Linked DNA regions of Cricetulus griseus. The protein of the gene in region 2 interacts with the protein of the main gene of each other region in a pairwise test. Links are inferred from orthologs where the notes say so. Each region holds a gene or a part of one and is shown on either strand. Other genes may lie near its edges.

What was found. The genes of interacting proteins can lie anywhere in the genome.
Region 1: the proteins of Spg21 (region 2) and Akirin2 interact in binary tests that used the Homo sapiens proteins (3 or more experiments, as listed by UniProt). The two-hybrid records come from large-scale screens. The link is inferred for Cricetulus griseus from reciprocal best matches to the Homo sapiens genes SPG21 and AKIRIN2.

What each region holds. Positions count from the first base shown.
Region 1 is NC_048595.1:107,493,203-107,497,297, reverse strand, and holds the end of Akirin2 (akirin-2), read left to right. Parts: intron 1-388; coding exon 389-532; intron 533-1,968; coding exon 1,969-2,118; intron 2,119-2,909; coding exon 2,910-2,981; intron 2,982-3,191; coding exon 3,192-3,202; 3' UTR 3,203-3,885; downstream 3,886-4,095. UniProt on the Homo sapiens protein: Molecular adapter that acts as a bridge between a variety of multiprotein complexes, and which is involved in embryonic development, immunity, myogenesis and brain development.
Region 2 is NC_048597.1:177,057,626-177,062,892, forward strand, and holds the start of Spg21 (maspardin), read left to right. Parts: upstream 1-1,991; 5' UTR 1,992-2,210; intron 2,211-5,267. UniProt on the Homo sapiens protein: May play a role as a negative regulatory factor in CD4-dependent T-cell activation.

The sequences.
Region 1 (4,095 bases), on a different chromosome or scaffold from region 2:
TGGCTCAGTGGCTAACAACATTGGCTCTTCTGCCAGAGGATCTGAGTTCATTTCCTAGCACCCATATGACAGCTCACAATTGCCTATAATGCCAGTTCCAAGAGATCTGGCACTTTCACACAAACATACATGCAGGAAAAATACCAACGTAGATAAAAGAAAAAATAATAGATCATTAAAAAAATTTCATTTCATGTGTATATGTGTGTCTGGGGGTATTTGCCAGATATATGTGCCTAAAGAGGCCAGGAGAGGGTAGGATATACTGCTTTTGAAAAAGGGCCAGTTAACTGTGCTCAAAGAAATTGCTGGGGGAGGAGGGAGGCATGGGACACTTGTTGAAAGTGAAATTTTGATCTTTCCAAATTTTTACTTTTTTTCCATTTAGAACAAATTCTGTACAACATAAAACAGGAGTATAAGCGGATGCAGAAGAGAAGACATTTAGAAGCTAGTTTTCAGCAGACAGACCCAGGCTGTAGTTCTGATTCACAGCCACATGCATTTCTCATCAGTGGACCAGCGTCACCAGGTAATAAGAAACTTTAATAAGTGAAAGAAATGTTATGTGAGAAATGATGGGGAAGTATATTGCAAATGCCTGTAATGACTTACAGCACCTGTTTTTCTCCAATATTAACAAAATTATGCTAATCATAGTATCAAAAGTAATCAGCACCTGGATTCCCACCAACCAATAGCCACTTTTATTTAGCATCCCTAAAGCGGACACTGTGTAAGTTTAACTTGTAACTTCCAAAAAAAAAAAAAAAAAAAAGTCACCAGTGCTTTTTAAACACCCAATTTTATTCATTTTTATACTTTTGACTGTATTTATGTACTTATACCACTTATATGCCTGGTGCTCACAGAGGCCAGAAGAGGGTGTCTGCAACAGAACCCCAAAATTATCAAACTAAAGCAATTGTATCAATTGTATCCCAAAGCAACTGCAACACCATTGTTTGTCAACATCAAATTATCAAGAATATTCCTTCTGTGTTATTGTAACAAGAGAAAATTCTTTATTCTAATTGTTAAGATAGTGAGCACAAATCAGTATTAAAAACTTTACGGATAGAATACCAGCATCTTCGCAAGTTGACTCATGAACAAAGATTCAGAAATGTTCGTTTCTGTGACTTCTTAAAAGAGGGAGCTCTGATCATGATTATTTTTCGAATTGTGTACTTTTTTTCATTACAGTTTTCATTAGTGACATCTGCTAGGATAGTCTGTATAGGGGGAAAAGCCATCTATATTTTATGGTTCCTAAAACCACTCTTGCTTAAAAATCATTTGTTGCAGTTTTTGACTGGTTCTGTGTGAATTAAAGGAACTAAGGGATTATGGTAACTATTCAAAACTTAAAATCATTTCTATTTTAAAATTAAGCATCTCCATTCCAGAATTTTCCCTACAGCAACCTCCTTTTAAGGGTAGTAATTTTCTCTATCTTTTTTTTTTTTTCTATTTAAACATGATTCTTTCTAAATAGGAAACTAAACGGTTTGAAAAATGAGGAATATTGAAGTGGTGGTATAAGATGGTTGTGAGGCTTTACTGTATGGCCTTAAAAATATAAGCAATTAACAATAACATAAGTCTTTATAGTGTTACTCTAATATTAAAGTGAAGCTTTAAACCAGAGTTATATTTCTTTTATAGGAAATTTTGTAAATTAGCCACTGAATGTTCTAAGCAGTGGGATGGAGAGTGAAAGTTTTGTGATGGGCTCCAGCATTGCAATGATTTTGTTTTGAGGCTTTCTCCATTTATCTTTAGGCTTTTCCTCGGATAACATATCTTTTTTCCAGAGTCATTGGCTGATAAAATTATTAGTTCCGACCTGTTTATCATAAAGAATAAATTTTAAGTAACATGGGACAGTTCTAAATGAAATCTTCATTTAGGAGGTATTCTGTTATGGTTCTAAATCAGGTGCTGTTTTATTCATGTTGTACATAGGTACTTCATCTGCAACATCCTCACCATTAAAAAAAGAACAGCCCTTATTTACTCTAAGGCAGGTTGGGATGATCTGTGAACGTTTGTTGAAAGAACGAGAAGAGAAAGTTCGAGAAGAATATGAAGAAATACTGAACACAAAACTTGCAGGTAATAAAATGAATTTAGTTTAGAATATCCCAGTATTTGTCACTGTTCTATTGCTGGGGAGAGACATAATGACTAAGGCAACTCTTATGAAAGAAAGTATTTAATTGGGGGCTTGCTCAGTTTTAGAGGTTAGTCTATTATGACAGCATGCAGAGAGGTGTTGGGCAATTACTGAGAACTACATCCTGATTTCCTGGGAAGAGAAAGCCCAGGTCTGCCTTGGTCTTATGAAACCTCAAAGCCTTTTTTGTTTTGGGTCACCAACCAGATCCCAAGAGACTTACTAGTATGCATGCTAAGCTTTATCTTATGGTTGTCCCACTAGCTCATTCAAGGCTACACCTCCTAGTCCTAATCTTTCAGAGTTCCACTCCTTGGTGACTCAGCATTCAAATATATGAACCTATGGGGTCCATTCTTATTCGAATCGAATGGCCACACCTAAAAACTCATTGTAAGAAGTGAATTATTCCCACCTTGTTTTACATTGGTGAAATTATTTTTCTATATATTGATAGTGTTGCCTATGAACCAGAGCATTTCAGCAAAAAAGGAAATCAACATTCCTCACCTTATTGGCCCCAAGAAAGAACTAGTCATATAGATCAGCTACAGTATTAGTGAATTCAGATTTTTATGTTGTATTCTATGGAAAACACTCACCTGAGCTGTTGACAATTACTACGGAGGTTATGGAATGGATGAAGGTGTTTTCATGTGGCTTTATATTTTCAGATACATTATATAAGATATCTTGCAAGTCATGTAATTGACACATACTTTATTTGTAGAACAATATGATGCATTTGTGAAGTTTACGCATGATCAGATAATGCGGCGATATGGAGAACAGCCTGCTAGTTGTAAGTATTTGACCTTTGAACTATAAACTGAAGTGACCATGTTTTCATATTTAAAGAGTTGATAAAAAATGTAGAGAAAAGGTTTACAAAAGAAGTAAAATGCTGTAACCCCTGATTACTTAAATATCTAGGGGTGATGTTAGCAATGCATTATCTTGTATGTTTTAATTTTGCCCCATTCTTTGCACTAATACTCCTTTTCTCCTCCAGATGTTTCATGAATCACCCTTTTGCATTTGTGGGCTGCCTTGTTCCTTGTTGAGTTGTTGCAGGAGGTCCCAACTATGACACGCAGCAATGCCAGTACCCATCTGTGAATACAGGTTATTTCAAGCTTTCGTCAATGGCAACCACTCTTAGGCAGCAGCAATTGGTTTTGGAAATTTCCGTGATGTCATTACCACCTGGATGTGGACCTTTGCTACTTGTATTAATACCAGTGGCCTCGTTTTGCTGTATCATTACAATTTGGCTTCTTTATATTAATGTTTAAAAGGGATTAAAGTTGGCATTCTAGAACATGCCCTTCACTGGTTATGTAAATAAAACTGTAGAATGACACGTCAGATGAAGTTAGTGTGATTTTAATTGTGCACTACAACCAAGCTGTAACCAGTTATTAATAATTTAGAATGTAATCCCAGGACAATTAAGCAGTTAGTCTACAGTACTTCTGTGAAATAGTGGAGGAGGAGGGCATTTCTGTATTTCAGGACTTTTCTTGGGGTTTCAGAATGGGTTTATATGATTTCCTTTATTATTATTTTTTGGTAGTTTTATTTATTCTATCAGTCTTTTTAACAAATGTTTATTGCTGCACCCCAACCCCCTCCCCCAGTGTATCATTGTTTTACTGCCCTTGTAGCACTGGAGTTTAGTTGGAAAAATAAAACATTTACTTCTATTCTGCTTGTTTTCGAATTGTACACATGGGTAGTATTTGAATAAAGTAGTGTTTTAAACGTAAGTATTTTCAATAAAGTTAGATTTCTGATAAGGTTCACCTTTTATTAAATGCTGTTTCCCAAAATTAAGTTCTGATTCAGAACTGTATGACAGCATGTTACATAGCAAGATCTCAAACAGCTGTAGAAGTTTTACCTTTTGATTCCAG
Region 2 (5,267 bases):
ACACACACACACACACACACACACACACACACACACACACACACACGAGGATGGGGAGTAAAATCTAGGAGCTGAAAGACGGCTCAGAGATTAAGAGTGCATATTACTCTTGCACCCATCTTGGGCAATTCATAAATGCCTAGCTGTAATGCCAGCTCTTGGGGACCCAAAACCCACTTCTCCACTCCTTACACACTACACTCATGTGGACCACATACTCTCCCACACACACAATTAAAATAAATAATAATAATAAAAAATAAATAATAATAAAGATATATTTTTGGTTGAGTTGGGGGAAGAATAGAGGAGAGCAGGATGAGAGATACCATAACAGAGGGAGCCATTGTAGGTCCGAGGAGAGATCTGGCACTGGGAGATTTCCAGAGATCTCCAAGGATGACACAAACTGACAATCTAGGCAATGGTGGAGAGGCTACTCTAAATGCCCTTCCCCTATGAGACTGATGACTACTTTCTATGCCATCCTAGAGCCCTCATCCAGTGGCTGATGGAAGCAGAGACAGACACCCACAGCTATACACTGAACTGATCTCTGGAACCCAGTTGCAGAGAGGGAGGAGTGAAGATCAAAGGGGTCGGTACCAGGCTGGTGAATCCCTCAGAAACAGCTGGCCTGAACAAGGGGGAGCACATGGACCCCAGATGCTGTCTGGGAGGACAGTACAGGACTGATCCAGACCCCTGAACGTGAATGTTAATGAGGAGGCCTAGGCACTCTATGGGGCCCCTGGTAGTGGATCAGTATTTTTCTCTGGTGTAAGAAGGGACTTTGAGAGCCCATCCCACGTGAAGGGATGCTCTGTCTCGGCCTGGACACATAGGGAAGGGCCTAGATCCCGCCCAGGATGATGTGGTGGACTTTGGGGAGCACTCATGGAGAGCCCTACCCTCCCTGGGGAGTGGAGGGGGGAGGGGGGGCTGGTGGGAGGTTGGGGAGGGAGGGAGAGGGAGAAGGGATTGACATGTGAAGCTATATAAATAAAATTTTTTTAAAAAGATATATTTTTAAGTTCTCCTTAAAACACTAAGATCTTGCTATAAGATTCTTAAAATTTTTCAAACAAGATTTACAGATAATTCAATATGATCATACATTATTTCAGAGCAAAACTACTTACTGAAAGGAGTCATAACATCTGCACCCTCTTTTGTAAGAACAGTGATTAGAGTGAGCCTTACAGAAGAGGACCTGTGTCTGAGGGCAAGCCTAGTGTTGAGTATGTTCCCCTCAACATCAGCACAAAGCCGCAAAAGGAGACAGTTTGGACAGGAGGTCTGAGGAGGATCTCTGTAACTGTACAGAGAAAACTAGTTCTGTTGAGAAAAAGTATGTAGTTAAGAAGAGGGAGGAGATGGGAGCATGAGAGGAAGATAAAGACTAACAGGGTGATGACCAGAATACTTTATGTAGATATGAAAATGTCCTAATGAAGCCGTTATTGTGATTTAATTAACTTATGCTAATTAAAAAAGAATATATAGCCGGGCGGTGGTAGCGCATGCACAAGGCGGGAAGTGCGCAGAGGCAGGACGATCTCTGTGTGTTCAAGGCCAGCCTGGTCTACAAAGCGAGTTCTAGGACAGCCAGGGCTACACAGAGAAACCCTGCTTCGAAAAACCAAAACCAAAAAGTAAACCAAACCAACCAACCAAATACATCAAGCTCTATTCACCAAAGCTAGAACCCAAAGATGTCTCCCCCGAAGCACGAGCCACCCGAAAACTGAAGGCAGAAGCACAGACTTCACTGCCATAGCTTTCTCCTGGTGCTTATGTCAGACAGGTGACCTAGGACGGACCCTGACCCAACGCCAGCACTGGCGCCAGCTTCTGCATTGCTCCAATACATTTGCGCTCGGGCGAGCACAGAAGCTCCCATCCGGGGCTCCACGCCAGCCTCGTTGTCATAGTTACCGCCAGAGCCCCGCCCCTTCCTCGCTGTCCGGCCCCGCCCCTCAGAACCCGGAAGCGGGAGGCGCGCCCCAGGGAGCTACGGGATTCAGACCTGGGAGGCGGCGGCCTCTGGCTGCTCAGCCGCGCGCCCCCTCTACCTGCTGCGCCCGCGGAGCCTCTGCTCTGCAGCCGCCCGGCCCACCCGCGCCCTGCCGCCTGCCTCCGCAGCGCCCGAACCGGGCCGAAGAGCCGTTTGGGCTGGAGAGAAAGGGACGCGGGGGTGGCCACGGCAGGTGAGGGGCAGGCCTTGGAAAGCGGAGTGAGGGTGTGTGGTGCGTGTAGGGTTGTAGGTGGGTGTGTATCGAGCATGCGTGACTAGTGAGTGTCGTCCACGGGTGGGCCGGTCCTTGTGACCATGCACGTGATCCATATCCGTGTGTGTTTGTGTCTGTGTCTAAGGCCCAGCCTCGGTTCATTGCGGATGGTCGGTGTGCCTGTGGGTCCACTATTGTGTGGCTATGGCTATAACTAGTGGGACTCAGGGAGGCCCCAATGGGGGTTGGTGCCCAAAACCTTAACCGGACATCTTCATCTTCTTGTACCACCCAACTTGGGGCTGTGCGGCAGAAGCTCAGAAGCATTTGGTTTCAGTAAACTTTTAAGGACTGCGAGTAGAGGCCAGTTCTGGAGATCCTGCCTTAGACCGGGCATGAGGCTTGTTAGAGAGTCATGAGAAACATTGCAGGGCTAGCGAGTGTCTCGTTTTTCTTTTCCCAGGAAGTTAGTTGTTAGGTGCTGATGCAGTTGCTTTGTCTCTATCTGCAATTGTCCAGCTACTCTTCGTGCAAGGATTCTAAGGATTGGGAAGTCCTCTAATACTGTCTGAATTTTTCAAAAGGCATTTACAACAGGATCTTGAGAAGAGGTGTCAGAAGATGTCATGCAGGCAGCATCTCCTGTCATGGCATTTAGAGACAAGTGGATAGGTTCCTGGAGAAAGAGGGATGAATTTTCCCTGAAGAAATCGCCCCCGAAAGATAGCTATTTAATACATATGGGTGTGCTGGGGGTGGGGTGAAGATCTGCAGTAAATAGCCAACTGTGGTTCTTTGGGTGTAGTTTAGTGGCAGAAGCTCATGCTTAGCATTCCCGAGGCCATAGGTTCAGTTCCTGGTACCGATAATCATAGTTGTGTCACCTAGAGGCTTTCAAGGTCTAATGCTTTTTTTATTGGCTGTAATAATCACAGATTATCCCTATGTAAGTCCACTATAGATTGAGATAAAGGACCAGCCATATGTGACCATGTGAGTTAACATTTGTAAAGCTGATTTCCTCAGCTGTAAAGTGCAGGTTCTGCTGAGACTCCACGTGCATGCTCACATCCAGCAACACAAAGTCCAGAAAGGACCAGGTGTCCTCAGCATCCCGGAGGAGGGGTTTCCTTAATCATGATTAAAGCTTATCTCTGGCCCTTTCCTCACCAGCCTGAACAAGTGCTTTTGTTTTTGTAAAGAACTGAATCATGAGAAATCGCATCTGTGCTGAGCTCACCGCTCACATTCTTTTTTCATCCTGACCAGTTTGGTCACAATCTCAGCTAACTTTCTGGGCCATAGACACAATGTTTCTTTTGTGACTTGGAAAAGCATCCGACCTAAGTGGATGAAAGAGAGCTAGAACAAACTTTCCTTTTCATACTGCTACAGCTGCTTTCCCTTTGCAGCTTTTTTTTTCTTCTTCTTCTTCTTCTTCATAGCCGTCAGCTGGTCACATGCAACATTTGGTAACTGTCTCGCCTTTCATTACTGCCGAACTAGCACAAGTGTTAGGCTCACTTGTCTTTACAAACGTGTACTCACAGCTGGGCAAAATCTCTTACCCATCAAGATTAGTTATAACGTGTCCTGTTGCAATACTGAGGTAGTTGTGAATTATACGGAAGGCTTTTGGTAAGGACTACCTTCTACCCATTGCTATGGGAAAGAAGTGGGTGACTCGGGGTCCTTGTGTGCCTGCCTACGTGTTTGTGCTGTGGTTTGGTTTGTGAATTGCACCTGACTCTAAAACTGTGAATAATTTCTACCGTAAATGGGTTGATTCTAGAAGTAAACTTTAACAAATTGATTGAAGTTTTTGTTTGTGTGTCTGTTTTGAAATGAGGTTTCACCTATCACTGTGTAGCCCTTGCTGGCTTGGAACTCACTATGTACACCTTGAACTCAGAGTTCTGTCTTCCTCCTGAGTGCTGGGATTAAAGGTGTGCGCTATCATCTGGTGGTTTCACATATTTTTGATATTCTCTCCTACAGAAATTGTTCTAGAAAATGTCTTTAGTTGGTGTCCTAGTGTAAAGTATTTCAGAATTAACTGCTAGTTGCTTTCATTTAAAAAAAGTAGTAGCTTAAGGGAGACAGAAGAGGTAAATTGACTATATTACATTTTGCATGAAACTATTCAAATAATAAGAATCTCTAAAAGTTGTTAAAGTTATGATATAAAAATAGTTTAAACATCTTAGATACTAAACTTGTTAATATTTAAGATAAATGGATTTTGCAAAGGATTGTGTTCTTTGTTTTAGTGTTAATGACTGAATCTGTGCACGATGGTTTCAATATAAGATTGATGGTAATTTACTTTGTGTTTTAAAACAATTTACAGTTTTAGCGGGGGCGGGGGGGCTCTGCTCTCTGTGAGTTAGAGGCCAGCCTGGTCTACAGAGTGAGTTCTCAGTTGGGGATACACAGTGAAATCCTTTCTCAAAAAAAAAAAAATTACAATTTTAACAACCCTCTCAAAATATTTCCTTTGCTTTGAGATAAGAGACCACTATCCTATCAGCATTGTAATTAGAGTTTTAATATTGGTCTGTCTACATTTACTGTCTCCTGGAAGTTCAGTGTAGTGATTCTCAAAGGTAGCAGACCAGTGTTGTGTCCCTGTAGAAAGAGGCCAGAGAATGAGGAAGGGTTCCATTAAGTTTAGAATTCTCTGCCCCTTGCCAGGCCAGAGAGCTTTTTCAAAGTCAGCCTAAACTTAAGTCCTGGACTGTCACCTCATCCCTACTAGGGACTCTAGTTCTGCCCTCAAAGCAGGGGAATGCCACGCAAGACATGTATTTGAACCTTTCCAGGTGGGCCAAGTGCTCTTGGCCATAAGAATCTGCAAGAAGGAACCTTCCCTTAGGTTCCTGTTACAGCATCGCACAGTCAGGCAAAGGATATGCAGTTCACAGCTGGGCAGTAACAGAATTAGGAGGGCTTCTCAGAGGGCCTGGTTTGGTCTCTTTAGAGCTCAGTCATCTCATAGTCAGCAGATCAGGTGGGCTGAATGCCAAACCATTCTAG